Linked DNA regions of Pelodiscus sinensis. The protein of the gene in region 2 purifies or fractionates together with the protein of the main gene of each other region. This does not show direct contact. Links are inferred from orthologs where the notes say so. Each region holds a gene or a part of one and is shown on either strand. Other genes may lie near its edges. The genes, in order: WDR82, CXXC1, BOD1 and BOD1L1.

Region 1 (7,874 bases), on a different chromosome or scaffold from region 2:
CAGGTGGTTTTTACCCATAAATGCTTATAACCAAATATATCTGTTGTTTTTACAGATCGAGACTAACACAGCTACCCCTCCATAGCTTTGTTTTCTGTGATACTCCATGCTTAATTCTGGAACCTATAACACCACCACACACAATATTTGGCACACTGCTGCCACACCAGAAAGTGGAACTTTGAGAAAAACTGAGTAACTGCACCAGGATATTTTTTCCTGAAATAATTTAGGACTTCCAGTTTGACTCACTTTGATATGAGTCTTACAGTATGTGAATTATTAGAGCCCTGAAAATCCACAGGTATCTGCATCCATGGATGAGGATATCCATGACTCATTTTTGCAGACAGGGATGTGGGACTCTATGCATCATGTATTCCATCTATAGTTGTCCTGTTCCCAAAACATGATAATTTAGAACTGATTAATGTATATATACACACAATTTTCTTATACTGAATCAGGTAGTGCATTTTTCAAGTGTTCTGTACATTTCTATTATTTATTCCTAGGATGGATGTCCTACTGCATGCTCCAAGGAAGGTTCCCAGAAGAATTTTATTCATTCCCGTTAATCAAAATTATGCTTCAAAAATTCTAATTTGTCGGAATTCATATTTGTTCAGTTTCTGAAAAAATCTGCATTCCTCTCACTATAGAGTAGACTCATGCACATTTTAATTCTAGCTTGTAGGTAAAGATGCTAACTACTCAAAAGGGGTTTACACAAAGCACAGTAAACGCCTTTCTTGCTACGTAATATTGGCAATGTATTTTAGTGGAATGCCAAATAGTTTTTAAAGTTATCGGGCATGTATAGTGTGCCATATTCAACTATGAAGTTAAAATAAATATTAAAAAAGTTATATCTAGAACGGGTTGCCATTTTAAAAGGTACATCAAAACAGTTTATTTTATCCAATTCATTTAAAGCCAAACAGGGCACTTAACATGCCCAAATCAAATGTTTGCTCTCTGACTTAGATATTCAATGGAAAGACTCATCAATAAATGAGTCTGCGACCATGGGTAGTCAACAGTAGGCATATTCCTCAAAAGAAAAATCAGGGCAACTCCACTAACTTCAAAGTTGGACATATATAAACTCATCTGTAAGTATGTACCTATAAACTGTACTAACTAAATCTGAGAAAGTTTGAAAAATCCACTCAGAGAATGGAAAGATTTCTGTGATCAGTGAAAAGTCCTAAGCCATCAATTAATTGAGAAGTTTAACTCTCTTTAAACAAAAGACAGAACTACGTAGCACTTTAAAGACTAACAAGATGGTTTATTAGGTGATGAGCTTTCGTGGGCCAGACCCACTTCCTCAGATCAATATGTGGAAGAAAATCAGCACAACCATATATACCAAAGTGATACAATAAAAAAAGTGAACGCATGTGAAATTGACAAATCAAATTTTAGAACAGAATGGGGGTGAGGGTGGAAGGTAAGTTTCTGTGAGGTAGTGACATAGGGGTGATAATAGGGGAAGTTTCTGTGAGGTAATGACATTAGGAGTGATAATTAGGGAAGCTATCTTTGTAATGGGTGAGATAATTAGAGTATTTGTTTAAACCCATACATAAACTGTCAAATTTAAGCATGAATGAGGAAGTGGGTCTGGCCCAGGAAATCTCATCACCTAATAAACCATCTTGTTAGTCTTTAAAGTGCTACATAGTTCTGTCTTTTGTTTCAGCTACACCAGACTAACACGGCTGCATCGCTATCTCTTTAAACAAAATTCTAGCCTCATAGTTGTAAAAATAGTAACCATCCAAACATGAAGCAAAAGACTTCTTAACTACAATGCTACATTTAGAAGCTGTGAACCTCCACACTTTCGTCTCCACTGCTGGCAGTAACACTGAAAGTTTTAGTGTAGATGGACTCCAGTGCCCTTTCACAATGTAAGGCAAAATCTAATAAAAATAACCTTGTTCTCCCTGCTGTTGACGCTCCATTTGCAAATCCGAATTATTCTAACTTTTCAGTTTTATATGCTCGTTAGATAAAAAGCAGAGAGGGTTCCCTAGGCTGCAGACACACAATTACAACGTTTTCAACTACTGCTCAGAGCTCTGCCCCACAGCAGCACAGCCAAACACATCCGAATCTCTTGCCACCTTCACTTTTGCGACCAACGGCCTTGGTGCCAGAAGAAAAGCGAACCCAACAGGATGCCAGTTTCACTCAGCAGCTTCTACCTGGGGAACAACTTGAGCATCAGCATCGCAGGGGACTCGTCTCTGCACACTCAGGTGGTTGCCTTCCCCGCCTCCTAGTCTTTCGCATCAACCATTAGCTGGCAGCTTTAGCGCTCAGCCAGAGCTATTCTTCGGCCTTCCTGAGCCCGCCTTTTCTCCCTCACCTGGCCAGGCGGATATTCCCCGGGGACCGATCCCTCCTGCTGCCCTCGCCCAGCCCCCGGGAAGCAGCTCTCCGGGCAGCTCAAATATCACCTACCTGCACGGGAGGAGGCTCCCGCAGATGCCCCCCCTCCCCCACAGGCCGCCCCCTCCCCGACCTGCCCCCGGCGGCCCGCCCCGCCACTCACTTGCCCTCCTGGCAGTCGTAGAGCACGATGGAGTCGTCGTCGCTGCTGGAGATGACGGTCTCGCCGTTGGGGCTGAAGTCGAAGCAGTTGATCTTGTCCGAGTTCTCGCGGAAGACCTTGGCCACGCGGAAGCTCCGCAGCACGTTGTCCGTTAGCTTCATGCCGCGGGGGAGGGGCGGCGGGCGCGAGCGGGGCCTGAGGGAGCCGGGCCGGGGCCCAGCGGGAGCCGGGCACGGAGGACGCCGGGGAGCGAGGGAGCCGGGCGGCGGCCTGGGGCCCGGGAAGCGGCGGCGAAGGGGAGGCGGGCGGGGGCCTGGAGCACGCGAGACTGGGGCAGGCGGCTTCGGCGCGGGCGGGCGGGCAGCGCCCTCAGGCGGGGCCGGCTCAGGCTGCGGAGAGGCGGCTCCTGCTCATTGTGTCCGCCATCTTCCTGCTACAGGGACACCGCGGGGGGAGGAGGGGGCGGCAGCGGTGCATTGTGGGGAGGAGGGGGGCTTGTGAGACAGCGGAGGAGAGGAGAGCGGAGGAGCAGCGCATTGTGGGATTGGCGAGGCGGGAGGGCTGGAGGGAGCAGTGCATTGTGGGATGCCGACAGGCGGGGGGCCTCGGGATGGGGACTTGGACCAGCAGTGCATTGTGGGACTCCGGACGGGGACGTCATCCACCTCCGGCTGGCCCCGGCGGCCATTTTGTGTGTGGCGGGAGCCCTACTTCTCCCCCCTCCCCGGGGCGGGACAGACGTGTGATGGCTGCAGTAGCCCCTCCGTGGGGAAGCTACGCTAGAGGAGAGGCCGCCTGCGAGGAATGGCCCAGGGTCGTACAGCAGTAGCTAGGCCCGCGTCACTGAGCTCCCTTCCCGCCCTATTCCCTGGGCCACTAACCTGCCCTCTCCTCAGTACTAATGCAGCCCTAAAGCTGGCCACTAACCTGCAAGCCTGGACACCGGGCTCTTGGCTCTCAACACGGGAACCTTGCAGCCTCCTCCAACAAGGTTCCCGTCTCTCTCACCAGCAGGGCTGTTGGTCCAACAGAGGATAGTACTTCAGCCACCTTGTCTCTGGAGCTCAGGAGGCAGGCTGGTTCGCTGCCTTGGAAGAGTCACAGGCCTCCATATTCAGAGGTTGCTACTGGTATCAGGGAGCCTACGTGAAATCAGTGGGAGCTGCAGGCATTTAAGCACTTCTAGAAAGTATTGCCCTGGGGTCTGAAGTCAGGGTCCAAACATACAGGCACCCTTCTTTAGGAAAAAAGTGGCCATTTCTGTAGCCTAGTTTCCTCCTCTGTAAAAAGGGCTTAATGATAGCAATTCACCTTCATGAAGTACTCTGAGATCTACAACTGAAAAGGACAGGGAGTTGCACTTCTTATTTAAATCACTGCTCAGTTTAATTTGTGATCTACCCTAATTACATTGGGGCTCCATTCCTACTAATTTGTTACATTTCAGACATATCAGTCTGCTATTATTTTCCTACTAACTGTTTAAAGTAAGGGAGGGGACTTCAAACTGATGTAATTCTTGTTTACCTAAGGAAAACATGCAAAGGAAAGAAGAGGCATCAAACTACTGGCATGATGTCATTTCCAGCCACTATGTTGAAAGCTGGCAAGTCTGCAGCGGGAAGTTTCTTCAGAGGGTAGGATGTTCCCTATAATTGATTTATATAGAGAAAATATTCTGGACTAGTATCGCTCTGTGATCTTTACACTTATTCACTCTATTTTCCTTCCTTCTCCTTTACAGAAAAGACAGTGTTTGTCTCTTTCCTAGGGTCTGATCTAAAACCCACTGTGGACTTTGAACAAAGCCTCTAGTACTTCCAAGACTGCTATCACAATCATGATGCAAATAAAATAAGTCCTGTGGCACTTTAAAGACTAATAGATTTATTTGGACATAAGCTTTTGTATGTAAAAATGGGGTGGAAATCACAGACATTGATTGATTGATTGATTGATTTAGTATATCAATCTCCTAAGCTCTGTGACTTCCACCCCATGCCTCTGACAAAGTGGTTTTCACCCACAAAAGCTTATACCCAAATAAATCTGTTATTCTTTAAGGTGCCACAGGACTCCTTGTTTTTGCTGATGCAAACTAACACCACTACTCCTCTGAGACATGATGCAAATAGTGATGCCAGGGAAAAACAAATCACTTTCTAATGTAATGTTGTGTAAGTCATGTGACATACTCAAGTTCTGGTGACACATTTCTGACCTAACTTTTGGGACATGCAAAATGGGGTTGCAATCAGGATGTGGGACTGTGAGGGTGCAATAGCTGCAAAATTAGAATTGTTAGCACCAGCAACCCCAAACACTGGAAGAGCCACTCACACCATCCAAAAAACTACAAAGAAATCTGCAGACAATAAGTATTATGAGTTTTTTAGAAATTTCATTCCCATCACTTTCTTGACTGGGGTGATTTGTATAAAAACAGAATCTTTGCCTTTTTTGTAGTTTGTTGTCCTCTGGCATTTGCATTACATTGCAAATACATTTCAAACCCACAACCATTTTTCACACTCTCAGCAGGGCTGTTTAAATACTGTTACATTAGAACTGCTTTCTCTTCTGGGCTTCATCCATCAGTTCTAAAATAAGTGGGACCTCATTCTAATCTCTTCCCAGTTTTGCTTTAATGCAAGTCCATTGATTTCAGGAGTTACTCATGGTTTTTACCAGCATGAGGCCAGAATCAGGCCTTTAGAAAATTATAAACTCGAAACAGCATAACATTCTAATCCCAAACACTGGAAGCAGGAAATAGAAGAGGAGTCTTTTTGATCACATCAGATACTCTTATTGTGTTGACTTCAGCTAGGAATTTCAGAGTGCAGTGTATGAGGAGTTTCAAAGGCAGAGAGTTGACTAGAAGTCTAAAGGAGGATTATTATTTATTGTTTGTATTACAGTAGCACGTAGGGCCCTTGGTCATGGATTAGGTCCCCACTGTGTTTGGCACTGTACAAATAACAAAGAGTTCCCATCCCAAAGATCTTACAGTGTAAAGTATAAAGAAGAAATGGTGTCAGCTGAGACAGTATCCCATCTACAGTCCTTTTTTTACAGTATTATTAGTTAATTATTGTAGAAGCAATGGTAAAGTCACAGAGATTTAGGACTACAGGGGGATGAGCAGCAGGAGTAAAAATGGAACTTTTAAGAAGCAAAAATCTAAATTTAATGTAAATATCCCTATAAACAGTACACTGAAGGTGCATGTCAGCAGGTGAATAGTTTCAAGAGAACTACAGAGATTTTCAGAGATTCCCATGAGGCAGTAGGAATTTATCAATAAATCCTCTATGTGTTTGCAATAGGACTGTGTATTTAAAGCCCTTAACACAACCAGTTATCTTGGGATTTGTATGTATTTAATGTTCTTTTGATATTTCAGGGAGATATTCAGGTGGCCTAACAATAGGTCAGATGTCACGGGTTCTCAACTTTTTTCTTTCTGAGTGCCTCCCCATACATACATGCTATAAAAACTCAGAGAGTAGGAGGGCCTCAGGGTTTCAATTGTGTGGGAGGAAGGGGACTGAAGGCTCCTGCCCATAGGGTACTCAGGAGCTCCAGGTTTTAGATGTACGGTAGCACGGCTCAGGGCTCTGAACTTTCTGCCTTGGGCCCCACACAGTCTAATGCCTCTCATGGTTTCCAGCCACCTGATTGAAAATCTCTGCCATCATAGGTGACAGCATTTTTTACCAGTCATAGGCAATAAACGACCTGTGTGCTTGATGTGATTTGCCATAGTTAACTCCTGGCGGACCACTGGAGCTTTATTTACCTGTGCCTCTGCAGGAACGGCCACTTGCAGCTCCGTTGACTGCGGATCGCCATTCCCGGCCAATGGGAGCTGCAGGCAGCAGCATCCTGGTCTATGCTGCTTTCCACAGCTCAGTGGCCAGGAATGGAAATCCATGGCCAATGGCAAGTACAAACAGTTATACCGTGGATGCACAGGTAAATTAAGTACTGATGGCTTGTGTTGCCCACCTCTGGTTTTCACCCTATATTTCTACCACTCATAAACCTGATTTTGTGTTGTTTCATTTGCAGCAGGACTAACAGGACAAGGGGCAGGAGAACGATCATTCACAAGAAGAAATGTAAACACAAGCAAAACCCCATTTACCTGATCTAATTGAGATGAGAGCCATATGAGGTAAAAACAAAAAAATCAGATAATCCAGAGAATGGAAAAGTGCAAGGCTGCATCACCATCTAGTGGCCACAAGTGAGATTGCCCATTTGTGGACCTGCATGCTACTAAAATCTCCTCAAACATCATTGTAACAGATATTTTCCTTTAGCATCCTCTGTTTGGCACGCGGTTTTGTTTCAACTTTGAGAACATTATTGCCTCCCTGTGGCCAAAGACATTCTGTCTGGGAAGTATTGCAAAAGAAATTTTATATTCTCTTTTGCAATAGTAAAGACCCACTTATTCAAATGCAGAGGGGTACCCCGTCAGCACTGGTACTCCTACTTGCAAGAAATAAGGGAAGCTAAGCAAAAACAGGAGCGTTTTCCTGTTGACCTTCCATTGTGAGGACAGTATCAAAGCTCGGCTTAAGGTAAGTCGACTCCAACTATGTTATTTATATAGTTGGAATTGTGTACCTTAAGCCGACCTTCCCCCAGAGTGAGGGCCTGGTCTATAGGTGTGGATATTTCAAATCCCAGAGTGACACAGTTAGACCAGTGTAAGTTTGCCATATAGAAGTGGCCTAAGTCAGCCACTCTCTGAAAAGCCTGTTAAAAACCCTGAAATTATTAAATAATGATGCAAACATCCTCTTCAGCTTTAAGACCCAGATCCTCAAAGACTTTTAGGTTCCTAACTTCCATTGAAATCAAGTTTTTAATGGGGCAAAGGAAAGGGATTCCCCTGGCATCTTGTAATTTGTATGACTAAGGCCTTAATTATCTCCCAAAAGGATGATTTATCAATACCATCAGAAGTGATTTACTTAAATGCCTACAGTACTTAGCCAAGTTACAGAGCTGTATAACTCTGTGAGTCATCAGCTGGCATTTTGTCACTCTCCTTTTATTCTTTTTTCTCCTTTCTGATTATTGGAACTTGGTCTGTCACTTTACACACAATTGACATTTATCTGGCAGAATAATCGGATCTTCTAGCAAAATGACAGCTTTCGATTATGGACGATGCCTTTACAAACTTGGCTAATTGATAGTACCAAAGGTTTCATTACTTCCGCTTGTGCAATATTGATAACATTCAGTTGGTGCCTCTTTTGCACTTATATAGGCTCAGATCCACAGAGGT
Region 2 (7,562 bases):
GCCGCCGTTTCTGTCCTTTGCCCTAGACCGGCTGATCCAAGCCAGCCTGGCCCAGGTTGAGAAGCAGCTGGACTCCCTGCCCCAGGCCAGGGCAGCTCTCAGCCAGGAGAGGATGTTCCTGAAGAGCCAGGAGGCTAGCACGGCCCTGTGAGTGTGGAGCGCCCCCAGCCCTGTGCCAGCCACCAATGGAGCATATTGCATCAGTACAGCCCGAGCAGGATGCCTGGTCCCACCCCTGGATCTGGGAGGAGAGTGAGGGCTAGCGGTTAGAGCATGGTGATTGGCAGACAGGATTCCTTGGATTCTCTCTGTGGCTCTGGAAGGGGAGCTGGGTCTAGTGGTTACCGCTGGGAGCCAGGACTCCTGGGTTCTCCCCTTGGCTATAGGAAGGGAAAGGTGTCTAGTGGTTACAGCATGGGGGGACTGGCAGACAGGACTCCTTGGATTCTCTCTGTGGCTTTGGAAGGGGAGCTGGGTCTAGTGGTTAGCACTGGGAGCCAGGACTCCTTGGTACTCTCTGGAGCAGTGAGGACAGCCCAGGTGCTGGCGTGAAAGCAAACATCTGGGCTAGTGGGGAGAGTGCCTAGGGGCAGCGTGGGCAGAGGCAGAGAGGCAGTTGGCAAGGTGAATGCAGGGAGAGCTGTTTCCAGCACAGCCTGCCTTGCCGGGGGATGGCTGCTGTCCATCACCGAGGCGGCTGGGCTGCTCCATGCTTTCTATTGTCTCCAGGCAGCTGTTCCAGCAGGAAAACAAGAGCGCGACTGAGCATCTGGAGGCAGCGTCACTCCGGCACTCAGAACTGCAGCAGAAGTACAAGAGGTGAGCGTGGGGGCAGGCTGGGAGCCCAGACCCCTGGGTTCTAGCCTGGCTCGGAGGGTGGGACCGAGGGGGTTAGTGCAGTGGGGCTGGGCGCCCCAGGCTCTGACTGGTGTGTCCAGGAAACTCCCCTGGCCAGTCCCAACCTGGCGGGGTCCTTTCCCCCTCCTTCCACTCTCCCTGTGTTCCCAGAGGGTTCTGGGATTCCTCGCTGTCCAGTGGCTCCGGGCCCCCAGAAGTGGCGGTGAGTCTCTGCTGGGAGGAAGGACTCTGCCACACCCCTTGTGCAGTGTAACCCTTCCTCTCTGTGACGGGCGCCGCTGCCCTGGCGATGGGCCCAGCCAGGTGCCCCCCTTGTTTGATAGAACCGTTATTTCTGGTCCCTTCCAGGCTGGCGGCCGAGCTGGAGGCCCAGCAGGTGAGGATGGCGGCGACAAAGGGAAACTGTTGACAGGACTCTGTGCTGCCAAAGGGGCAGGGCTTGGCTGGCGAGTCCATTGACCGGCACATCCGCACGTGGCCAGAATTCCCCCAAGAGACAGACAGACAGAGAGGGGTGTGCAGGAAGGACACGGGTGCAGGGGCATGTTGGGATGGGGAGATGGATGGAGAAGTGGGGAGAGGAGAGACGACAAGGTGGGGAGTTTAGAGGAAGAGCTGGCAGGCAGGAAGTGAGTGAAGACTGGCAGGCAGGAGGTGTGCGAGGGCTGGCTGGCTGGTGGGAAGTGTGCGAGGTGTTGCTGGGAGATGTGAGAGGTGTGGCTGGCTGGTTGGTGGGAGGAGTGTAAGCCATGGCTGGCTGGTGCAAGGTGTGCGAGGCGTGGCTGGCTGGCTGGTGGGAGGTATGTGAGGGCTGGCTGGCTGGTGTGAGGTGTGCAAGGAGTGGCTGGCAGGTGCAAGGTGTGTGAGGCATGGCTGGCTGGTGGGAAGTGTGCGAGGCGTGGCTGGCTGATGGGAGGTGTGCGTTGTGTAGCTGGCTGGAGGGAGGTGTGCGAGGGCTGGCTGGCTGGCGCAAGGTGTGCGAGGCGTGGCTGGTGCAAGGTGTGCGAGGGCTGGCTGGCTGGCGGGAGGTGTGCGAGGCGTGGCTGGCTGGCGGGAGGTGTGCGAGGGCTGGCTGGCTGGTGCGAAGTGTGCGAGGCGTGGCTGGCTGGTGGGAGGTATGCGAGGCGTGGCTGGCTGGTGCGAGGTGTGCGAGGGCTGGCTGGCTGGTGGGAGGTGTGCGAGGTATGGCTGGCTGGTGCGAGGTGTGCGAGGCGTGGCTGGCTGGTGGGAGGTATGCGAGGCGTGGCTGGCTGGTGGGAGGTGTGCGAGGGCTGGCTGGCTGGTGCGAGGTGTGCGAGGCGTGGCTGGCTGGTGGGAGGTATGCGAGGCGTGGCTGGCTGGTGCGAGGTGTGCGAGGGCTGGCTGGCTGGTGGGAGGTGTGCGAGGTATGGCTGGCTGGTGCAAGGTGTGCGAGGGCTGGCTGGCTGGAGGTGTGCGAGGTGTGACTGGCTGGTGCGAGGTGTGCGAGGCATGGCTGGCTGGCGGGAGGTGTGCGAAGCGTGGCTGGTGTGAGGTGTGCGAGGGCTGGCTGGCAGGAGGTGTGCGAGGCGTGGCTGGCTGGTGCATGGTGTGCGAGGGCTGGCTGGCTGGTGCGAGGTGTGTGAGATTACAGTGTCTGCTTTCCAAGTTCCTGCTGGTGCCCACCTCCGCTGGGATGCTCAGCAGTCGCTCACACTCCTTTGGCCGTGCTGGCTCCCTCAAGATAACTGGTGGGGCTGAGTGGTCCCTTTGGTGGGACCCACGGCCCTTCCCTAAATGCCCAGCAGTGGGGTGGGCTGGCTCCTGCAGCCATTCCTGGGCCAGAGTGCTCAGGGCTGGCTCCGTCCCTCGCTGTTGGGGTGGGATCCAATGCCTGGTGCCAGTGTGTGTTCCCATCCAGCTGTGACCCACCGTCCTGACTGGGGGCACGGTGACCCCCCCAATCTCCCTCACCTGCTCTGCCCCACAGCAGGGAACTGGGGGCAGTTCAGCCAGCATGGAAACAGCTGCCTAAAAGCCACGGCCGCTCTGCAAGCACCCCAGCTCCTAGAGCGGAAATCGGCCTGGAGTTACGTCGCCTCTGGACACAACCGTCTCCTTGTGGTGAATAAAGACTTCCTGCTTACGCCCCTGCTGTGCCCGGTTATTGGACTCGGGGCAGGGGCGAAGGGTCCGGTTCTGCGGAGGATGGGGGTCGCGTGGGGAGGGGCCACGGGGAACTAGTCTGCTGAGAGAGCTTGTTCGCCTGCGAGCGAGCGAGTCCGTCTGTCCATCCATCTGCTTGTTTGAGAGCTCCTAAATGAACGAGCTAGGACCCGCAAATTCGGTAGGCGGCTTCCTCTTCCCAGAACTTAACGCAAGGCCAGGACAAGGGGACGTGCCCGGGATGCGACAGTTTTCCAGAACATAGAAAGGGAGGGGGCTGCTAGCAGGGACAGTTATAAGTGTAATGACCACAGGGGGGCAGCAAGGGGCCAGCGATGGGGACTGGGGCAGCAGCGGCTCCGGGGAATCCCACCCGGCCAGCATGGTCCCCACCATGGCCAGTCCCGGGGGGGCCACCGCCCAAGCAGTGAGGTCTCCGCCGGTTCCTACGCCCCATACGCCCCAGCCCTGAAGGACCTACCTGAGCAATGCTGGGTAAATCTTCTAGTATTTAATAACGGGCCAGCAGGAGACCGTCTAACCGGATCCCGTGGCTGGAAGTTGAAGCTGGACAGAGTCAGCCTGGGAATAAGGCATCCGTTTTGAATGGGGAGAGGAATTAGCCAATTCCCCAAGGAGCATGGTGGATTCTCGGCCTGGCTCTCAGCTCTGGGAGGGAGCAGTGGATAGCAGATGGGATATGGCTGTGTTTGGCCGTGCACATCTGAGTGGTGTATCCTGTGGAACTCCTTGCTGCAGGGTATCAGGGAGGCAAAGAACAAAGGTGAATTGAAATAAGTGAATTTCACATGGGAGACCACGAACAGAAGCACCCCCCCAGCTGGGACATGCACTCCTAGTCTCCAGACTTCGGACACTCGGCGCCCACGGCCTGCTCCCTGGAAGGTGGGGGGCTATGGTACGCGGTTGGGGAGACACTGTCCTGCATGCTCACGGCTGCGTGGAGCGCGGGTCCCAAAGGGGCCTATGGCAGCCAGGGGAAGTTGCAGGAGGGCAGGCACAACCGCAGAGGCTGCCAGGAGGGGGGCAGCGTGTGCAGCTGCGTTGCAGCGGGGCTGGGCCACGGAGCACCAGGGGTGCCCTGGAGCCCCCATGCCCTCCAAGCTGGCTGGGCCTTGTGTCGCTGGGAGCCAGGGCTCCTGGGCCCTCCCCTCCCCAGACAGTGGCCCAGAGTTGGGATCCAGCCCTGGATCTCCAGCCCCTAACACTGGCTGACTAGCCATCCATCTAGCGAATCTGAGTTTGATTCAACCAGCCTTGCTGTGCCAGAGTCAAAGATGGCCGCCCCCTCAATGCTGCCAGTGACGAGGCGCCGGAGCGGCCATGTTGGAGCCTGGCGCCGAGGTCGCGCTGATGCCAGTGGGCGTGGCCGGTCCCCGCTCCACGGGGTGACCATATTGGATACGTTCCCCCGCCTCTGGGACGTGGGGGCGGCCATCTTGGAAGCGGGCCGAAGCTGAGCGAGGGGCACGCCAGAGGCCGCAGGGCGGCCATCTTGGAAGCGGGCAGATGGGCGGGCTGCCGGGGGAGGGAGGTTTGCGAGGGCGCCTTTGGCCAGGGTTGGAGAGTGACCCCGGAAGCGGAAGTAGCCGCCCGGGGGGGGGGGGCCTGTCGGGACTTCCTGGCCAGGAGCGCCTGTTGTCTTGCTTCCATCCACAGCAAGGGAGAGACCATGGTAAGGGGCGGGGGGGCTGGGAGCCAGGACTCCCGGGGGCTGGGGGGGGAGGGGCCAGGACTCCCCGGGTCTGGGGGGAGGGGCCAGGACTCCTGGGGTCGGGGGGGAGGGGCCTGGACTCCTTGGGGGAGGGGCTGCTGGTTGGGGGGGGATCCAGAACTCATGGGGTCTGGGGGGGAGGGGCCAGGACTCCCGGGATCTCGGGGGGGAGGGGCCAGGACTCCTGGGATCTCGGGGGGGAGGGGCCAGGACTCCTGGGGTCTCGGGGGGGAGGGGCTGCTGGTTGGGGGGGGGGGAGCCTGGACTCCCGGGGTCTGGGGGGGAGGGGCCAGGACTCCTGGGATCTCGGGGGGGGAGGGGCCAGGACTCCTGGGGTTTCGGGGGGGAGGGGCTGCTGGTTGGGGGGGGGAGCCAGGACTCCTGGGGTCCCTGGGGGGAGGGTCTGATGGTTGGAGGGGTTGGGAGTCCTGAGTTCTCTGATGCCCTTTCTGCCCCCCCCCCCCCCCCAGGACAGCGAGTTCTCCGACCCGGAGCTGGCCGCGGTGGGCGAGGAGTCTAAGTCGGAGAATGGCGAGAACGCCCCCGTCTACTGCATCTGCCGCAAGCCGGACATCAACTGCTTCATGATGTACGGAGACCCCGGGGAGGCGAGGGGTCGCTCCGGCGCCTGGGTCCCCCTGCCTGTGTCCTAGGTTGCTGCTGCTGGGAAGGGGGCCGGGTAACTCCCCGCCCCTGCAAGGGGAGCCCCAGGAGGCACTTGGCCCACGGGCTGGGCAGGGGGTTGTTTCCTGGGGCAGGCAGGGCGGGGGGAGTGGGGCAGGGGCTTGCACAGGGAGCGCTTTGACTCTCCCGTCTCTCCCGCCCCTGCAGCGGCTGTGACAACTGCAACGAGTGGTTCCATGGCAGCTGTATCAACATCACGGAGAGGATGGCGAAGGCCATTCGGGAATGGTACTGTCTGCAGTGCCGAGGTGAGGACGGGGGCGGGGCGGCGCGGGGAGGGGAGGGGGGCGGCACCCCTGGCCTTTCTGGCTGTGATGTGCGTTCCTCTCCCCTCCGCAGATAAGAACCCGGCCCTGGAGATCCGATACCGGCACAAGAAATCCAAGGACAAGGAGCGGGAGGGCGAGCGGGATCGGGCGGAGAAAGACGAGCTGAGGAAGAAAGCCCAGGAGCTGGCCCTGGATCAGAGCCGTGGGTCCAAAGTAAGTGCCCGGGAAAGGGTGCTAGGTTGGGGGTGGAGGGAGCCGGTGGGATTCTGTCCCATGAGCCCATGGGGCTGCGTTGCCAGGGAACTGAGCGGCAGGGTTCTAAGAGCAGCTCCAACCACCTTCCGGCTCCAGTTGCTGCCCGTCCCCAGCGTTAAGGGGCAGAGTTAAGGGTAAACAACCTGCAACGTGGTCGGATTTCCTTGGGCAGAGAGCTGCGCCGGTGTTGCCCTGATGCGTGGCCACTCCCCAGAAGTGGCTGCGTCTCGGAGTTGGGCAATCCGTCCCGTTTGGAGTGGCAGTGCTCCCTTCTCGTCCGTTGAGCCCCCAGGCTCAATGGAGGGATGATAGGAGTTACTATAGAGAACTGGGTATCTGGCTGGTGAGTCTTGCCCACATGCTCAGGGTTTAGCTGATCGCCATATTTGGGGTCGGGAAGGAATTTTCCTCCAGGGTAGATTGGCAGAGGCCCTGGAAGTTTTTCTCCTTCCTCTGTAGCATGCGATACAGATCACAGCTGGAGGATTCTCTGCATCTTGGGGCCTTCAAAGTATTTGAAGGCTTCAATATCTGAGATATAGGTGAGAGGATGATTCTAGGAGGGGTAGGTGAGATTCTGTGGCCTGCACTGTGCAGGGGGTCAGACTAGACGATCATAATGGTCCCTTTTTTAATGGGGAGCAGGTTTAAAACTAATAAAAGAAAGTTCTTCTTCACACAGCGTGTAGTCAACCTGTGGAACTCCTCGCCAGAGGAGGCTGTGAAGGCTAGAACTATAACAGCGTTTAAAGAGAAGCTAGATAATTTCATGGAGGTTAGGTCCATAAAAGGCTATTAGCCAGGGGATAAAATGGTGTCCCTGTCCTCTGTTTGTCAGAGGCTGGAGAGGGATGGCAGGAGACAAATCGCTTGATCATTGTCTTCGGTCCACCCTCTCTGGGGCACCTGGTGCTGGCTGCTGTCGGCAGACAGGATACTGGGCTAGAAGGACCTTTGGTCTGACCCAGTACGGCCGTTCTTATGTTCTTATGTTATGTTCTTCTGACCTTAAAGTCTAGGAGTCTATGAAACGGGCCTGCCAGGTTCCTTGGCCCATTCTCAGACCACGGTTCTGGAGCATGGGCTGGTGGGGTGAGACCCGTGGGCACTGGGTGAATTTCCGACCCCACCTCATTGGCTGTGGCACTGCTACAAATACAGCTGTGGACACTCATCTGGCCTCTTAAGTCAGGAAGTATTCTCCCTGCTCGCCAGCTGGGTGTGAGAATGAAAGAGTCCCGGGAGAGAGACCCCTTGGGTTTACGCTGTAAATATCCTCAAATGCCTGCTCCCGGCACATCCTGTGGTCTTTCCCCCTCCCCCCGGCCGGTCTTGGCATCCATGATTGGGTTGGGTGGCAGGTGGGGTGTCAGGTATCAATTTAGGAGCTTGAAAATCCCTGAGTACGTCCATGGGGGAGCTGCCATGATCCCTGCTGAAAATTAGGGGCTGAGGGAGTAGGGGGAAGGAGACGGGAAGTCAATGGCTGAGCACGTGCTCCAGCTGACCGAGGCTAGAGCCATCTCCAAGCCATACGCTCGGGGCGGAGACAGCCCTGCGGAAGAGCTGGGCTGTCTGATTTCCAGGGAAATGTCTCCTGACTGGAATAGACCCTGGGTGGGCTGCTCTCCGCTCGG
Region 3 (7,867 bases), on a different chromosome or scaffold from region 2:
TTAAACAGAGGTAGACAAGGGGGTCACAGCCAGGCTGGAGCAGCCCCCTTGCCCTGCGTGGGCCTGCTCTAGCCCACCACTTAATCAGAGAATCATAGAGCTGGAAGAGACCTTAGAAGGCCATCAAGTCCAGCCCCCTGCCCAAGGCAAGAACAATCCCAATTAAATCAACCCAGCCAAGGCTTTGTCAAGCCGGGACTTAAACACCTCTAGGGATGGAGACTCCACTACTTCCCTAGGTAACCCATTCCAGTGCTTCACCACCCTCCTAGTGAAATAGTTTTTCCTAATATCCAACCTGGTTCACGTCCCTACGTGGAACTGGGAAATCAGAGGCAGCAAGGTGGGGGGAGCAGGAGTCAGTGCTGGGGGGGGGGGGGAGGGGGAACCAGCTTTGGTTCCCCCAGCACCATCTCCGTGAGGGGAAAGGGAGGAAGAGGCTCAGCAGGAGCAAGCCGGGACAGCTTCAGTTCTGGCTGGCCCCAGGTCTCTGTCCGCTGTGCCTCTGCTTTTTAAATGCAGTAAGAGCTGCCTGGCTCTTACTACATTTAAAAGACAGAGCTGCAGATGGGGACCCGGCACCTCTGCCAGGCAGCTCTTACTACATTTCAAAAGCAGAGGCGCAGCAATCAGGGACCCAGTGTGAACCAGGACTGAAGCAGTCCTGGCTCACGCCGGGTTCCCCCGCTGTGGCTCTGCCTTTTCAGAGCAAGAGCCAGGTGGCTCAGTCCTGGCTCATGCCACCCCCAGGAGCTAACCCCACTGCAGCACTGCAGTTTAAATGTAGGAGAAGCCTGGCTGCCTGCATACTTGACTCCTACTACATATAAACTGCAGACCTGCAGTGGGGGTAGCAATGGAAATTCCATCGACTACTCGATTAGCTAATTGAATGGTACTTAACATCCCTGGATACCACTAGAGTTCTGTTGGAGTAGAGCCCCACCAGGTCACAGAGCTGTGCTTGGAGCCTACTCCCAATGCGTAAGAGACTCAGATTTTCTCCCACACACAGAGATCTGTTCAATGACCATTCAGTAACTCAGCAGCATACGCCAGGGAATTTTACGCAAATGAAAACAGAGAGACTGTAGGCAGGCAGGAGGCAAGTTCCCCAAACTGAAATTTGTTTATCACACTCCCTGCACTCCTTGCAAAGAGCATCATGGTTTCCTTAAATGATCATGAGTCAAAATGCCCAGGGTTTTTCCTGAATTTAAACAGTGCCTCTAACAGCACAGCGGCTTTTGGGGGTGGGCAGGGTGAATTTCTACATGCATCAGCCTGGCTGAACAACATACAGCACTGAGATCCAATAGTCTGAAATAAATTCCAGCAGCAAAGTAAAAAGATGATTGTAGGAAACAAGACAAAGAAAAACACACATCACAGAACACAGAACTGAAGTCACTAGGGATGTTAGCAGCTAGCCAGATAATCATTTGACCAATAAGCTATTGTTTATTGGTTAACGGTCCTGGATAACTGCAACAACACCCCTCCCCCAGCATGTTCTGAATTTAAAATTCAGACTGGCATGCTGGCTCAGCCCTAGCCCGCCAGTCCAAGTTTCAAACGAAGAGCACGCATGGGAGCGGTCTGCTGCCCAGCGCTACTGCCTCTGTATCAGATGCTGAAGCAGCCTCTGTCCGTGAGGAGCTTGGAACCCCCGCGGACAGGGGCTGCTGCCACCCCATGCTGCTGCTTCTGATACAGAAGCAGCAGCCCAGGTTGGCAGGCAGGAGCCGGTCTGCACAGGGAGCCAATTTTTAAACTGGCTCTCCTTGCAGACCAGTTCCCACCTGCCACCCCGCACTGCTACCGCTGTATCAGAGGCAGCAGCGCGGGATGGCAGGGGGCTCCCCAGGAGTGGGAATGGGAACACACTGGCAGCTGCCCCCACCCATGGGGGCCAATGAATAATCGTATAACCGCTAAGAATTGTTGCGGTTACACAATAACTAAATTAAACAATTTCTAACATCCCTAAAAGTCACATGCCCAAATATGCATGGTTCAAATGAACATGTAGTTCAGGTATGGCAATATTTATTGCTAGAAATAGGCACTCTTTCGATACTAAAAAACAAAGTATGCTTTATTATTGCCATATGGAGTAAACATGGTACTTTAAGGATGGCATAGCCTTAACCTATGCCTGTGGAACTCACTGCAGCAGGATGATAGGGCAAACACTTCGGTAACTTTTAAAAAGGAGGTTGATATGTTTATATGACTAAGGATAGGGCCAGCAGTTGTAGGAATTAGAACAAAATTACAAGGGATCTCAAGCTTCCTGTTTCAAAGTTAATCACTGGAGGCAGTGAGAAACTGATTGCTAGTGGTGGTCAGGAAGAAATGAAACCCTGTGTGGATTAATTTTGTATGATTAAATGTCTTGTGGGGAATTTTATACCTCATTCTGAAACACCCAGCATTAGCCAATGTCAGACACAAGATACCAGATTCAATGGATTGCTTTTCTGCATAGGAAGGACTCGCATGTTACAGTTCCCCTATTTGTAATGCAGAGCATTGTATAATATGCAACATGCTGCAGTGCATATTCTTTCCAATGTACATCTCGGTGCCTATAAATGCTGGCTTTTTTCCTCCTCATAGCTGCCAGATGGCGTGGGACAGCTTATGCTGCTTTTCAGAGCTGCTGAATTTTAATCAGATGAAAAGGACAATGCATCGCATGCAGAATTTTGCTCTCCCACCTTTCAACAACTACTACAACCCACAGAAAGATATGGATATGGGGCTACTCCCCATAGTGTACTTGGGATGAGGACATAATTGTAAGAATCATATTCATCTAGCCATCCCATTTACCTCCCCCCAAATTGATTCCATTTTATTCTGGCTTTAAGAAAGTACGTAAATGAAAGAGACACACTGGATAGATATGTTCTCTTTTGGGGTGTATGTGGGCAAGGGGACTGATTCACAAGTATCTTCTTTTAAGTCGTTTTGGTAGCAGAAGTCTTGACCAGGTACAGGAGATAAAATAGTTCAATGTCCATGTCAACTGAGATATGCTAATCACCAAACGTGGTGCACTGGTAGTAAAGCAGAACTAAAGTTGCTCAAATTAGTAGTCAGACTCACTGTGCCTGGGAATGTTCAATATATTAATGCAGGGCCAAATTGGAACCAGACTCCTGGTGAGCCAGAGGTGCTGGCAGGCAGTAGGCAACTCCTTACATAGCCTGCATACAAGCTGGCCAGCAGCAGAATAAACAAATCACCCCACAAGATAGCACATCATAAGATAGGATGACTCAGAAAAACATTGGTAGGTAGGAAGGTATGTTAAATGCTGGTGGTTATTTTGGTCCAGTACCCAGTAAATAAATGTCCACGCTGGCCCTTGTTCACACTAAGAGGAGAAGCCACAGGAATGAATGGCCCACTGGCACTGAACTTCATTGCCACTAGAAGTAAAAGTGAACCAAATTCTGCTATTCTTTTCACTAATGTAAATCCAGAGTAACACCATTAATGGTCATAAGTTTATTCTGGATTTATATTAGCGGTCCTCTGTGCAGAATTTGCCCCTAAAACTAAATCTACAAAAATAGTTTTGGTTATTAGGGCTGCATAGGGTTGCCAGGTGTCCGGTATTGACCTGGACAGTCCGGTATTTTTGCCTCCTGTCTGGTAAAAAAATTCAGAAAATACCCCCGCCCCTTTTTTTGGTAGTTTTGGTTAAACCATCTGGCAACCCTAGGGCTGCATTTTAAATGCAGTATGTATGCGGATATGATGTACCAGGTATCAATTACCGGGTATGGGGCCTAGTGGTGGGGTAGTCTTCCACTTTTAGAGAGACATATAGAAAATAAACTGTTATTGCTGTTAGGGGGGCAGAGGATTAGCTCTTTGAGTAACTTACGAGGGTACTAAAATACATTACAAATCAGCATGTTTCTTCAAAAAAAAAAAAAACTTAAAAAACAAGGCACCTTGTTCCACTCATCTGAACTGGGTTGTGCCCATGAAAACTCATGATACTATATATATTTTTGTTAGTATCTAAGGTGCTACAGGACCACTCATTTTTTAAGTTTTTTCAAGTTAGACTAACACCACTACCCCTCTGAGACTGTTAAACATGTTTCTTCATAGAGTTGTTGGACACTGACAGGGAAACTAGATAGGCACCCAGAGATCAAAGGGTCTGCATGTCCCACTTAAAATCAGTGAAACAATAGATCATGAAGACAAAAAATATTCCTTATCCCAACTATTGTAAAGCAGGATCAGCACCGCAAACCTGCAGCCTCTTGTCAATTTTTGTTGCAGTGCAACAGAGGATGATTGCCAAAGCCACAGCCTCCCCCGGTGGCCAAATGCGCGCATTACACTCCCCCCTAGAAAAGTTTCCGGCGTTGCGAGCAGTCAGCCTGGCACAGGGGAGTCCCCCAAACCCGCACGCTGCGTCGGGCACGCAACAGGTGAGGAAGGAAAAGCTGCCTAGCGGGTGCGGCACTAGCCTAGCAGGTTCACTGCCCTGCTCCAGCGCAGGGAGCGCGCCGCACGGGGCCCTGGGGAGGGAGCTAGGGGAGCGGGCCGCCCCTGGAAATACCTGAGCCGGGTCTCCGGGAGCAGAGCTCGGAGCTGTCTTTCCCCCGCGGGCCCAGGCAGGGGGCAACGAACTCCCCGCGCACATGTTTCGAAGACATAAAAACGACAATTCCCAGAATGCATTGCTCAGCGCCCCACGGCCTTCCGGGCTGGCGACGCGGTGCACGCTGGAAATCGTAGTTTCTTTGCTCAGCCCAAAGGCTCAAGTCCTATAAGAGGCGCCCTAGAGGAAGGACTCCCTTTCCCATAATGCAGCGGGACGGACATACGCAGAATGTGGCGCGCCGTCGGCGGCGGCAGCGGTGCCGGTGGCACCGGGTGAGCTGGGAGCGGCGGCTGCTGAGGCCTGGCTGCGCCGGGCAGCAGGCGTGGGGCATGTCGGAGAGCGGAGGCGCCGGCGGAGCTGCCCCGGGCGGGGGAGGCGGCGGCGCTGGAGCTGGGGGAGCAGCGGGGCCTGGGGGCGCGGCTGTCGGGGCGGGGCCCGGCGCCACCGACCCGGCCTCGCTGCCCCCCGGGGACGCTCAGCTCATCGCGCTCATCGTGGAGCAGCTCAAGAGCCGCGGCCTCTTCGACGGCTTCCGCCGGGACTGCCTGGCCGACGTGGACACCAAGGTAGCGCTGCAGGGGCCTGGCCCCACCAGCGCCTCCCCCGCAGGGGCACCTGGGAACGGGGCCTGGTTCTCTCGGCCGACCGGGGTACCAGGGCCGCGCTTTTCGCCTGGGCACGTTCGCACTGCTCGGGACGGAGACGCCGGGCGCTCTCTGACCCTGCAAGGAACAGAGGCTGCCCCTCACTCAGGCTCCAGCGGCTCTTCTGGGACTGCCCTGCTAACAGGGGCAATAGGCTGATAGGGGCTTTTCCCCGCCCAAAATCTCTAGTGCGGTCTCGCTACTTGAGCTCCACAGCTTTGGCTTGGGCTCTTTGGCTGACATGGGTACGAGGGTCTGAGTGTCTCATCACCTTCCTGTTTCAAACATCATCCCCCAAGTTCTGGCCTGTTGTCTGACAACCATCCCCTAGTTTTTCAGACTCGACCCTGAAGCTTCTGCTTCAGTCACCTACTTCATCTTGGGTTCCAACTTTCTTTTGGGGAGCCTGGATCTATCTCAAACCTGCAGCCAAGAGTGACCTTAACTAAAATATACAAGTGTTTCATGAAGCCCAGAAGATAAACTTTTCAGTTTCAGGGCTTTTTAACTTTCTACTATACGGTACAAGGTTTCCCACTCGTGTTTTTTCTGACCCCTGCATATGCTTATCTAATTTCTGTGTCCATGGTCTTCCTGAGAAATGGTAGAAAGCACGACTGATAATTCAGTGAAAGTCACTATTACCCAAGTCATTTCTCACTAGTGCAAGATTAGGGGATGCAAAAGCTGCTGGGCTTTCCTGCACTTGGATGAAACCCAAAACTTCCACTAGTCAGCACTTCAGTCAGTGAAAGTACTTTTGCAGGAATTGGGTGCAATCCCCACTGTTATCATCCTGAAGGGGTGTATGGTAGCTTGTTGTCTTCCTAAGCTTTACCTGAGACTTCAGCAGAATGTGGACATCCCTTCCTGTAATAAACCATTGCAGCATTTCTAAATAACTGTCTTGTTCCACCTTATAGGTGCTTGCAGTTTATCAGTGGGTGAAGTGATTCATATGTGTACATAGCTTGTAAAGCATTTCAGAGTCTTTTAACATAAAGTGCTACTTAGAATGAATACCTTTAAACCTCTGTAACCATATATCTACTTTTGCAATGATGTCACTTGTTTATTTGCAATTGCAACTATTTTTGCTGAAATGTTAACATGTAGCCTTTCTGACATGTATGTACTCCTAGAGTCATCCACCCAAAGTGTCCTCTTTAAAGCTATAGCTCCCTTTATGCTTACAAAAAAGTACTAGAATTAATACTGTTAATGGGGAATAGTCTGACAACAAGGGTGCAAGTGTTCTGGAGCCAAAGGAACCAACATTGGGGTGGGAAAATCTTAATAGAAATTTTGATTTCCCCTCTAATGCCACTGAGAACATCAGTATTGATAACCAATTACTGGTGTGTCTGAAACCACCACATTATTCTGTATTAAACCATGAAACTGCCACCTATATGATCGGAACAGATTTCTCTCAACAAACCTAAATGGAATTTGAACTGGCCACTTAAAAGGGATAGGCTCTGTAGCATATTGACAAGAGTATCATTTTAATTTTTGATGATGTTCCTTGTAGTGATTCTGGTCTTGCTATAAGACCATTTGCCACCTTTTTGCCCTTGCCCCACATTAGTAACTGGTATTCCCATACGCAGTAGGAATGTAAAACGGGGTTTAAAAACATAACCATGTAACTGCTAAAAATCTTAGTGGAGGCCTCCCTGGGAGCAGGGCTGGCAAAGGCTTCCCACCCCGCTCTTAGGGAGGAGGAGGCCTTCCTGCTGCTGCGAAACTGCCTCGCTAGCAGCAGGGCTGACAGGGGCCCTGGCAGTGGGAGCCAGCATGTAACCTGCAATGTGCCGCCCAGGTCAGGCCCACTACAGGCAGGGGCTGGCCAAGGAGTCCTTGCCTGTAGTGGCCCTTGTGGGGCTGGAGCATCCCATTGCCTGGGCCGATAGGGAACTGTTCCAGCCCCTACCGGTTAACCATTTACGTCCCTAATACTCAATAACATTTCCGTTTCCTAAAGTCTGAAGAACAGGAAAGGTAGATTTACACAGAGCATTAAATAAAAACCACCCCTCTCCACTTTCTTGGCTTTCCAGTTTGCATTAGGGTTACAGCAAGCACATCTGTTTGTTTATACTATCGTCAATTTTATCTAATTAAAGTGTCTTGTAGGAACTTTGTGGTTGGAAGTCATATTAGAGGCCTTCTTAAATATAACTCTTGCAACTGTTCGCGTCTGAGCGCCTGAATGGAATGCAAATTACCTGTGCACGCAAAACACAGGTCTAGCTATTGCAGTTATAATACACTTGAACATAGGTTGGGGCCTGAACTCAATTTTTGTTTTTCTTCATTTAAATGATTGCTCTGGGGTAGAACTGGGAATGAAGGGTTTAGTATGCAGGCTATCCCAAGGAGAAGGGACTTACCCCAGCCCTCTCTCACCACAGTAACTAGGGCCAGATGGGAAGTGCCTCTCCATGGCTTCTGCAGTTCCAATGGGCACAGCAGGGAGAAGGATGCAGGTGCCCCAGCTGAGACAGGTCCAGGTTTGTCTGCCTCCTGTGCTCCCCACCCAGAACGAGGAATACAGCAAACTGTGTACTTTTCCCTCCCT
Region 4 (7,275 bases), on a different chromosome or scaffold from region 2:
TCTAAAAAGTGTTTTCCCTCCACACAGACAACTTTCCATAAACTTTCTAAGTTCCTAGAAAGTAATTGTTTGCATTTGCTTCAGGAACACTCCTACCTGACTTGTGTCTAGGTCCATGGTGTCCAACCAGTTCTGAAGCAGTTGCCACTGTAATGGCTACTGCTATAGTGAACTAGCCACACTCAAACGGCCAAATAGCCACATGTGGCTAGTAGCTAGATTGTTGGATACCGTGGATCTAGATAGTGCTCAAAATGTCCCATTAACACACATCTGAATAAACATTTCATGCCTGACAAAAAGCCTGCAGCAAATGGATTTGTTTTTATTCTCTTTCAGCATAAACTTGCAGATCCCCTTTGTAGTTATCTTTATGAATCAGTTTGAGGAAAGCATTCTATGCAGAACAGGTAGCAAGAAATGTGACAGCACTATATCTATTGTCTTCATAACCCCAATGTTAGAATTTCTCAGAATGGCATCATGTTGCAACTACTAAACAGTGGAGTTCAGATTCTTAATTTACTTTATGTAATAGCTTCAGCATTGAACCAGTTAGCTACCTAATAGCCTACCTTTTGTCCATCACGCTCTAGAAAACAGAATGAGTTGCCTATGGCTACATTTCACTTGAGACCATTTCTCCATTTATGGTGTTATCAAGTCTTAACTACAAAATAATTGTATTTCCTCTATACTCAAGTGTTGATACCTATCACTAACCATGCAACAGGTGGCATTTGCTCCCAAGTTTCAGATCTGTCCCTAAAATTGACAGGATGGCAACCTTTATCTATACAAATTAGTTTGGAGTAACATTAGGCGGCTTCTCATATTAGGGTAATGTGCAACACTAGGCAGAGGATATTAATGTAAATGTGTTTATGGCACAAATTAGATTCACCATAAATGCTTATTCAAAGATATTTCAAGATGACCATTTACCAGCAGTCTTTACAAAACTTTTTAGCTGTCCATAGAAATCAAGTCTGTTCAAGGATTTCTGTTTTGTGAATATGACTCTGAATAACTAACTTGTGCTTGCAACATACATGAATTTTCATATCTACAATCCTATTAATAACACAAGATTTAACCCAGAAAACCGAACAACAACTAGTAATTTGTTGAATAAACCACTTATGAGTTAGTGGTAGTGCCAGAATCCTTGTATGCAAAGACTGCAGACCCAATATTCCAACAAAGCGAGACTCCTTCAAAGTTGTGATGCAAAACAGGAAACATTCAACACTGTATTACAACATATCACAAGAGTGACGAGCATTTATATCCGGATACAATGGTAACAAAGGTAACATTCTCTCTTCATAGAAGTTGTGGAATTTCTTTGTCTAGCTAAGCTTTCGTGGGCAAAGACCCACTTCATCAGGTGCATCTGACAAGGTGGGTCTTTGCCCTCAGAAACTTATGCTCCAATATATCAGTTAGTCTATAAGGTGCCACAGGACTTCTTGTTATTTACGCAGATTCAGACTAACACTAGGTTTCCATTCACCTATCACTAGAGCACGAGTATCTATTTAAACGGCAGAATATTAACTCAACTTATGACTTACTTGAGAACCTGCTGCCTAATATTATTTCTCAACTGATTCTTGTTGAGATGAGGACTCCAAGTATGAGTTGCCAGATGATTGGAAACAAAGTTGTCAACGCGTTGTCTCAGGTTTTGATAAGCAGGCTAAAGGGGCAAAAGGTGAGATCAGATATTTAAAAAAGCTGCTTAAAACTCATTTTCCTAATGAGAGGGCTGAAAAACTTTAAAAAGCTCCCTAGATCTTAACTGCCGAATCAATAAAAATATCAGGATTGCCATCCTCTGATAGGCAATGCCCATATACCAAAACCTATTTACCGAAAAGAATTCTATTACCCTCTTGGGAAAAAGTTTATACAGTATAACCTACATAAACGGGAGCGACCAGTCCCTTTTACACAGACGGCCCGATCTTGCTGAAGTCACTCACTGATCCCTGAGAGCTCATTCCTTAGGCAGGAACCTGCTGCTAAGGACCCTGCCAGCGGTCTAGTGCGAGGGGCAACGCGCTGAGCTGCTGCTGCGACGTATCCCCGGGGAACGACATTCCCAGGACGCTAGAGCCAGCCAGGAGTCTCTGCAAGGCTGCGAGGACCCGCCGGCTCCGTGTCCAGGGCAGCCCTGCCTCCACCCCGGGCAACGCTCACCAGGCAGGAGCGGCTGCGCGTCTCGGCAGACAGCCCTCCTCCCCTCCCCCGAGCTCCGGGCCCCCGTGGCGCTCGCCCCCTCCTCAGACCTGCCCCCGCCCATACCTTGGTGTCCACGTCGGCCAGGCAGTCGCGGCGGAACTGGTCGAACAGCCCCTGGCTCTTCAGGTGATTAACGATCACGGACACCAGCTCGGGCTCCACCGCGCCGCCCCCGCCGGCAGCCCCAGGCAGCGGCGGCTGCTGCTGTGGGGGCGGCGGAGGGGGCGGCGGCGGAGGGGGCTGGGGCTGCGGGTTACTGGCCATGGGGGCAGCGGGGTCTTCAGAGAGCGCGGGCGGCAACCGGCTCCTCTAGCCGGGCCCCGGGCAGGGGGCTGGTTACTGAGCAGCAACCGCGGCAACGCTGACCCCGGAAGTGAAAGGGAACGGAGGGAGGAAGCGAGAGACAACGAGCGGAGAGGGGCAGGGCTGATTCGCACAGAGGAATGGGCGTTGCTACTGGCTGTTCACCCCGCTCCCGGGGCGGGAACATCTGAGCCGAGCCCTCCGGCTCCGGCTCCGGCCCCTCCTTCCCAGCTCCCCGGGCGCAGCCCCATTGCTGCGCGCGGCGGCAGCGCCTCTACCAGCCGGCTGAGCTTGAGAACGAGAAAGGGGCGGGGCTGTGCGCCGGTTCTGAGCATGCGCCTGTGACGTGCGCGTGCTCAGTAAGAGCTGCTGAAGCCGCTGCCCTGGCTTGGCAATTGCTGCTCGCGCAGGAGCCCTGGGGAGCGAGGGGGGCAGGATCTGGGCAGTGCCCGACGGGATGGTGCAGGCTGGCCGGGCGCCTGGAGGCAGCCGAGGCAGGGCTGAGGGGCACAGTCAGGCGGGGGTTGGGCGCTGGGGATGAGGCTGAGGGGCTGCCCCCTTCTCCCCTGCAGGACAGTCCGTCTTGGCTCCCGCCTCCCAGGCCCTGTGCTGCGCCAGGCGGCTCGTCGTCCACTCTAGGCACACGAATGTCATTGTGCCCTTCAGATCATACTTTAGGTGCAGTTAATCAGTTTAAAAATATTCATAGCTGCTAGTAGGCTTCAGCCATCCCGTCTCAGTGTTTCTGGGGTAGCACTGTCCGTATCGTGCCAGTAGTTTTTGTCAAACACCATTTTATTCTTTGGGACCTTTATTCTTATCAACACCTGCTGATTTCCTGGGTTGATGTCACATTGCAGTTTCTTTTAATAAATCAATGAAGATCGTGTTGGTCAATTGTTTTGCTTTCTTATCCAGCACCCTGTTTTTATCCCATTACTATTTGTGTGTCAAATTTGGTTCCCAAAAAATCACTGCATGCCAGATTTTTAAAGGCTAAAAGTGTCATGATGCTTCTGAAAATCCTACTAGTCGGCTAAATACTTTTAAAAATCTGGCGCAGTGGGACTATCCTAAAAAATAAATTTCTATTGTATTGTTTCTAAATATAGATATAATAGAGGTATTCAAAAATCATGAGATATGCATCCCAAAGTCATAACGTTAAAATAAATAAATACATTTTAGAGTCTTAAATTTTCTTTTTTGTCGAGCCTTTCAGATGTACTAGCTTCATACTTTTTCTGTTAGCTCTTTCAAAGCATCCATATATGTAAAACAATAGTACATTTCTTTAATATTGAGTGCTTTTTTGAACTTCCAGTAAGTAAGATGTGACTTTTATCCCTTCCCTTTGTAAATGAAAACATTAAACATTTATTTCTGTAAGTAATTTGCCATCCTGCAAACATCGAAGTGCATACTTTACTGTTTATTACTTAATTTGTTGCATACATAAATTTTGATATTTCTACTAACTTGTTTATGCATATTTTAATTTCATAGTATTTTGTATATGTTTAATATTTCAGTATAATACATGTTAGTGTTGTTCTTCATTTTGACAAGTTTACTGCTTTTTTTAAACGAATTACGGTATCCTGTTTCTCCTTTGCATTGATTGCACGGGAGGGAGGGCATGGTGCTGACCTCACATAGTTTGTCTTCTGGTGAAACTAAAGTGTCTTGTCTCTACCATGTTTTTACAGTAGAATAGCTAATGCATGGTAATTACCCCAGGGTAAAAACTCATGTTTCCTTAGTATTGAGGACGGAGATGATACTAATCACTGAGATATTAAATGAATCATTATTATTCATTGCTTCACAGCTCTGGTGCTGATTGTGTGGCTCATACTACTCCTTTGCCAAAAGAAAGATTTGTGTCTCAGACTACGGGTACAACAGACAGTTTACAGCATTGGGAACTGTAGCAATGAACTGCCCCCCTGTAAACTCTTTAATGTAATTGCTGTAGGGCGGATGGAAGGAGAAAGCTCTTCCATTAGCTTAACTATTCCAGCCTTAAGGGTATGTCTACACTAGGGTTTTTTTTTTTTTGCAGAAGAAGCAATGCAAATGAAGCGCTCATTAGCATTTTCTTGCACTTCATTTGCATAATCTCTTCCAATGCTTTTTGCGCAAGAGGTTTTTGCGCAAAAATTAGCTGTGTAGACGGATCCGTTTTGTACAAAACCCCCTTTTGCGCAAGATATCCTTTTCTGAGGCATAAGGATCTTGTGCAAAAGGTTTTGTGCAAAATGGATCCATATACACATCTAGTTTTTCCACAAAAATGTCTTGCGCAAAAAGCATCGGAAGAGATTATGCAAATGAAGTGTGAGAAAATACAGTCCCCCACCCCAAAAGGGTGGGCAGCATGCCCCTAGCCACTGGAGCCCAGCAGCACACCCAAAGTGGATGCTGTGGGGCTTAGTGCAGGTGTGGCCACACCTGGCTGTTTAGGGAGGCATAGCCACCCCTTCCTGCCATCCATTCTTAGGCACCTAACTCGGGATTTGAGAATCACAGTGGTATTCCTGTGACTTAGGGTATGTCTTCACTACAGCATTATTTGGAAATATCTTATTTCGAAATAGTTAATTCGAAATAAGTTATTTCAAAATAACGCGTCTACTCACAAAATGCATTTCACAATAGTGTCTTGCTATTTTGAAATAGCACATCCACACTGAGTGCACACTGAATCGCATTTAAAGCCGACCGGAACGAGGTCCAGCAGGACATCAGGTCAGGAGTTACTTTGTGTGGCTGCTTCCTGAGGCTATCCGAGACCTGTGCTTAAAGCCCTCCCCCCCACCCCCGGTCTGGGGAGCTGGTTCTCAGCTTTCCCTGCTTGCTTGCCAGCCTCAATGAGGGACAGCAAAGCATTTTGTCTCTGCGTGCTCTGGTTGCCCTCACTTGGGACACTACAGCACTCGGCGCCATGGAGCCAGAGCTCCCCCTGGGCACTCTGGTGCTTCTCTTGGATGCATTGCTGTGAGCCTGGCTGCACTTTCTGCAGGCTGTCATCCAGGAGGTCCATCGGGGGGCTGTCAGCATTCAGGAGGCCATGTGAGAGAGCTTCCACCCTGAGGAGCCACTAAGAGCCTCCCTGGTCTGCCCCACTGGTGGCTTGTGCCTCATTCCTCCCTCACATCCTTCCACTTAACCCTCCCTAACCCCCCTTCCTGATGTCAAATAAAATACATGTATTTTCATGAACACAAACTCTCTTTATTTAAAAAACTGGGGGTGGGAGGTGGGGGAATGAAACTCTGGTGAGACTGGGGAAAGGAGGCACGAGAGGGGAGGAGGAATCTGGAAGGGGGAAGCAAGGGGAAGAAGGGGGAGGGGTAGCTCAGGACTCAGGGTTGGGGGTCTCACCGGACCAACTTGATTTTCATGCAAACCTGCTCCTGGGTTTGCATGTGGCGTTTGGTGGCCAGGCTGGCAGCTATCTTGCCATAGACGGCCGCGTTCCTCCATCTAGTGCGGAGATCATGGACGTTGGGAGCATCCCCCCAAACCTGAATAAGGTCCATGATCTCCACCCTGGATCAGGAATGCGCCCGCCTTCTCCGTGCCCTGGCAGGCTCCTGGGAACTGGCAGACTGCTCCTGAGGAGCGGTGGAGGGCTGGTTGCCAGTGGCTTGCGGGCTCATGTTTTGGGACTACTGCGTCAGGAGCAGTGACTGCTGGTTCTGGGCTGGCAGGCTTGGAGCTGGCACAGGCACTGTGGCCAGAGTCAACCCTTTTAAGGGCTCCAGGGGAGGAGTGTTCTTGGTTGAGGCTAGAGTGGCCACCAAGGCACCTTGGGAAGGCCAGAGGCCCCATATTTCGATATAAGTTTCTACACAGCACTTATTTCGAAATAGCTATTTAGAATTTGGTGTTATTCCTCGTGGAATGAGGTTTACCAAATTCTAAATAAGTGCTCCACTATTTCAAATTAATTTTGAAATAGCAGTTTGGCTGTGTACACGCTAGTAAAATTATTTTAAAATAACGGCGTCCCCTTACTTGATGCCTAAAAGCTAGGGATTGTGACACTGATCGTTGGAATGTTTCACTCCTTTTTTAAATCTAGTCCTTAGGCCTTTCCCACAGTGCTACAAAAGGTGAGTTTTTGTTTTGCTTTTATAACATGGGGTAATTACGGTGCACGAGCTATTCTGAACTAAATGCGCAGGGAAGACAAAGCCCTTCTGTTTTAGCAGTGACGAAAAGGCTTTAAAATGTTTCTGGAATAAGATCAGAAGTATATTCACTCAGCCACAGCAGAGAAGTACAAATTATTTTTTGAGAACTTGGTGTGTAAAAGTGACAGTGGAAGGAAAGTCTGGATAAGAAACAAAGGTCACTGTCCTACCTAACAGCTTTTGTTTAAAGTGTCTTCATCAATATTTCAGATACTGCTTACAATGCTGTATGCCATTTTGTGGTTTTTGTATACATTAAATCTTTGTTTACTATAGAAACTGTATGGTCTGCTCTGAAATGGAAAGAGACATAAAGAAATAACAATACAGTAACTGAATTCAGGGTTTTACATACAATATTCCTGTGGCTTAATTGTATAGAATTGTGATTGAATGTATCCTTATATTCACACCTTACACACCATTGTAATAATACTAGTATAAACATGCCTTATGATGTAGCATTTGAAAACTAAAAACTTGCTGGAAAATATTATCATGGTGAAATATGCATAGCAACATT

The links.
Region 1: the proteins of CXXC1 (region 2) and WDR82 purify together in Homo sapiens (affinity purification with western blotting; 7 studies listed by BioGRID and IntAct, with this or other methods). This does not show direct contact. The link is inferred for Pelodiscus sinensis from reciprocal best matches to the Homo sapiens genes CXXC1 and WDR82.
Region 3: the proteins of CXXC1 (region 2) and BOD1 purify together in Homo sapiens (affinity purification with mass spectrometry; 4 studies listed by BioGRID and IntAct, counting the BioPlex papers as one, with this or other methods). This does not show direct contact. The link is inferred for Pelodiscus sinensis from reciprocal best matches to the Homo sapiens genes CXXC1 and BOD1.
Region 4: the proteins of CXXC1 (region 2) and BOD1L1 purify together in Homo sapiens (affinity purification with mass spectrometry; 5 studies listed by BioGRID and IntAct, counting the BioPlex papers as one, with this or other methods). This does not show direct contact. The link is inferred for Pelodiscus sinensis from reciprocal best matches to the Homo sapiens genes CXXC1 and BOD1L1.

Annotation. Positions count from the first base shown.
Region 1 is NC_134721.1:42,423,551-42,431,424, forward strand, and holds the start of WDR82 (WD repeat-containing protein 82), read right to left. Parts: upstream 3,018-7,874; 5' UTR 2,728-3,017; coding exon 2,567-2,727; intron 1-2,566. UniProt on the Homo sapiens protein: Regulatory component of the SET1/COMPASS complex implicated in the tethering of this complex to transcriptional start sites of active genes.
Region 2 is NW_027465846.1:162,968-170,529, forward strand, and holds the start of CXXC1 (CXXC-type zinc finger protein 1), read left to right. Parts: upstream 1-4,547; 5' UTR 4,548-4,675; coding exon 4,676-4,678; intron 4,679-5,187; coding exon 5,188-5,306; intron 5,307-5,548; coding exon 5,549-5,649; intron 5,650-5,740; coding exon 5,741-5,883; intron 5,884-7,562. Other genes in the region: synaptonemal complex central element protein 1, read left to right, coding at 27-147, 730-819, 1,207-1,234, 2,807-2,851. UniProt on the Homo sapiens protein: Transcriptional activator that exhibits a unique DNA binding specificity for CpG unmethylated motifs with a preference for CpGG.
Region 3 is NC_134727.1:18,732,488-18,740,354, reverse strand, and holds the start of BOD1 (biorientation of chromosomes in cell division protein 1), read left to right. Parts: upstream 1-4,850; 5' UTR 4,851-4,968; coding exon 4,969-5,205; intron 5,206-7,867. UniProt on the Homo sapiens protein: Required for proper chromosome biorientation through the detection or correction of syntelic attachments in mitotic spindles.
Region 4 is NC_134715.1:108,497,127-108,504,401, reverse strand, and holds the start of BOD1L1 (biorientation of chromosomes in cell division protein 1-like 1), read right to left. Parts: upstream 3,007-7,275; 5' UTR 2,512-3,006; coding exon 2,311-2,511; intron 1,703-2,310; coding exon 1,578-1,702; intron 1-1,577. UniProt on the Homo sapiens protein: Component of the fork protection machinery required to protect stalled/damaged replication forks from uncontrolled DNA2-dependent resection.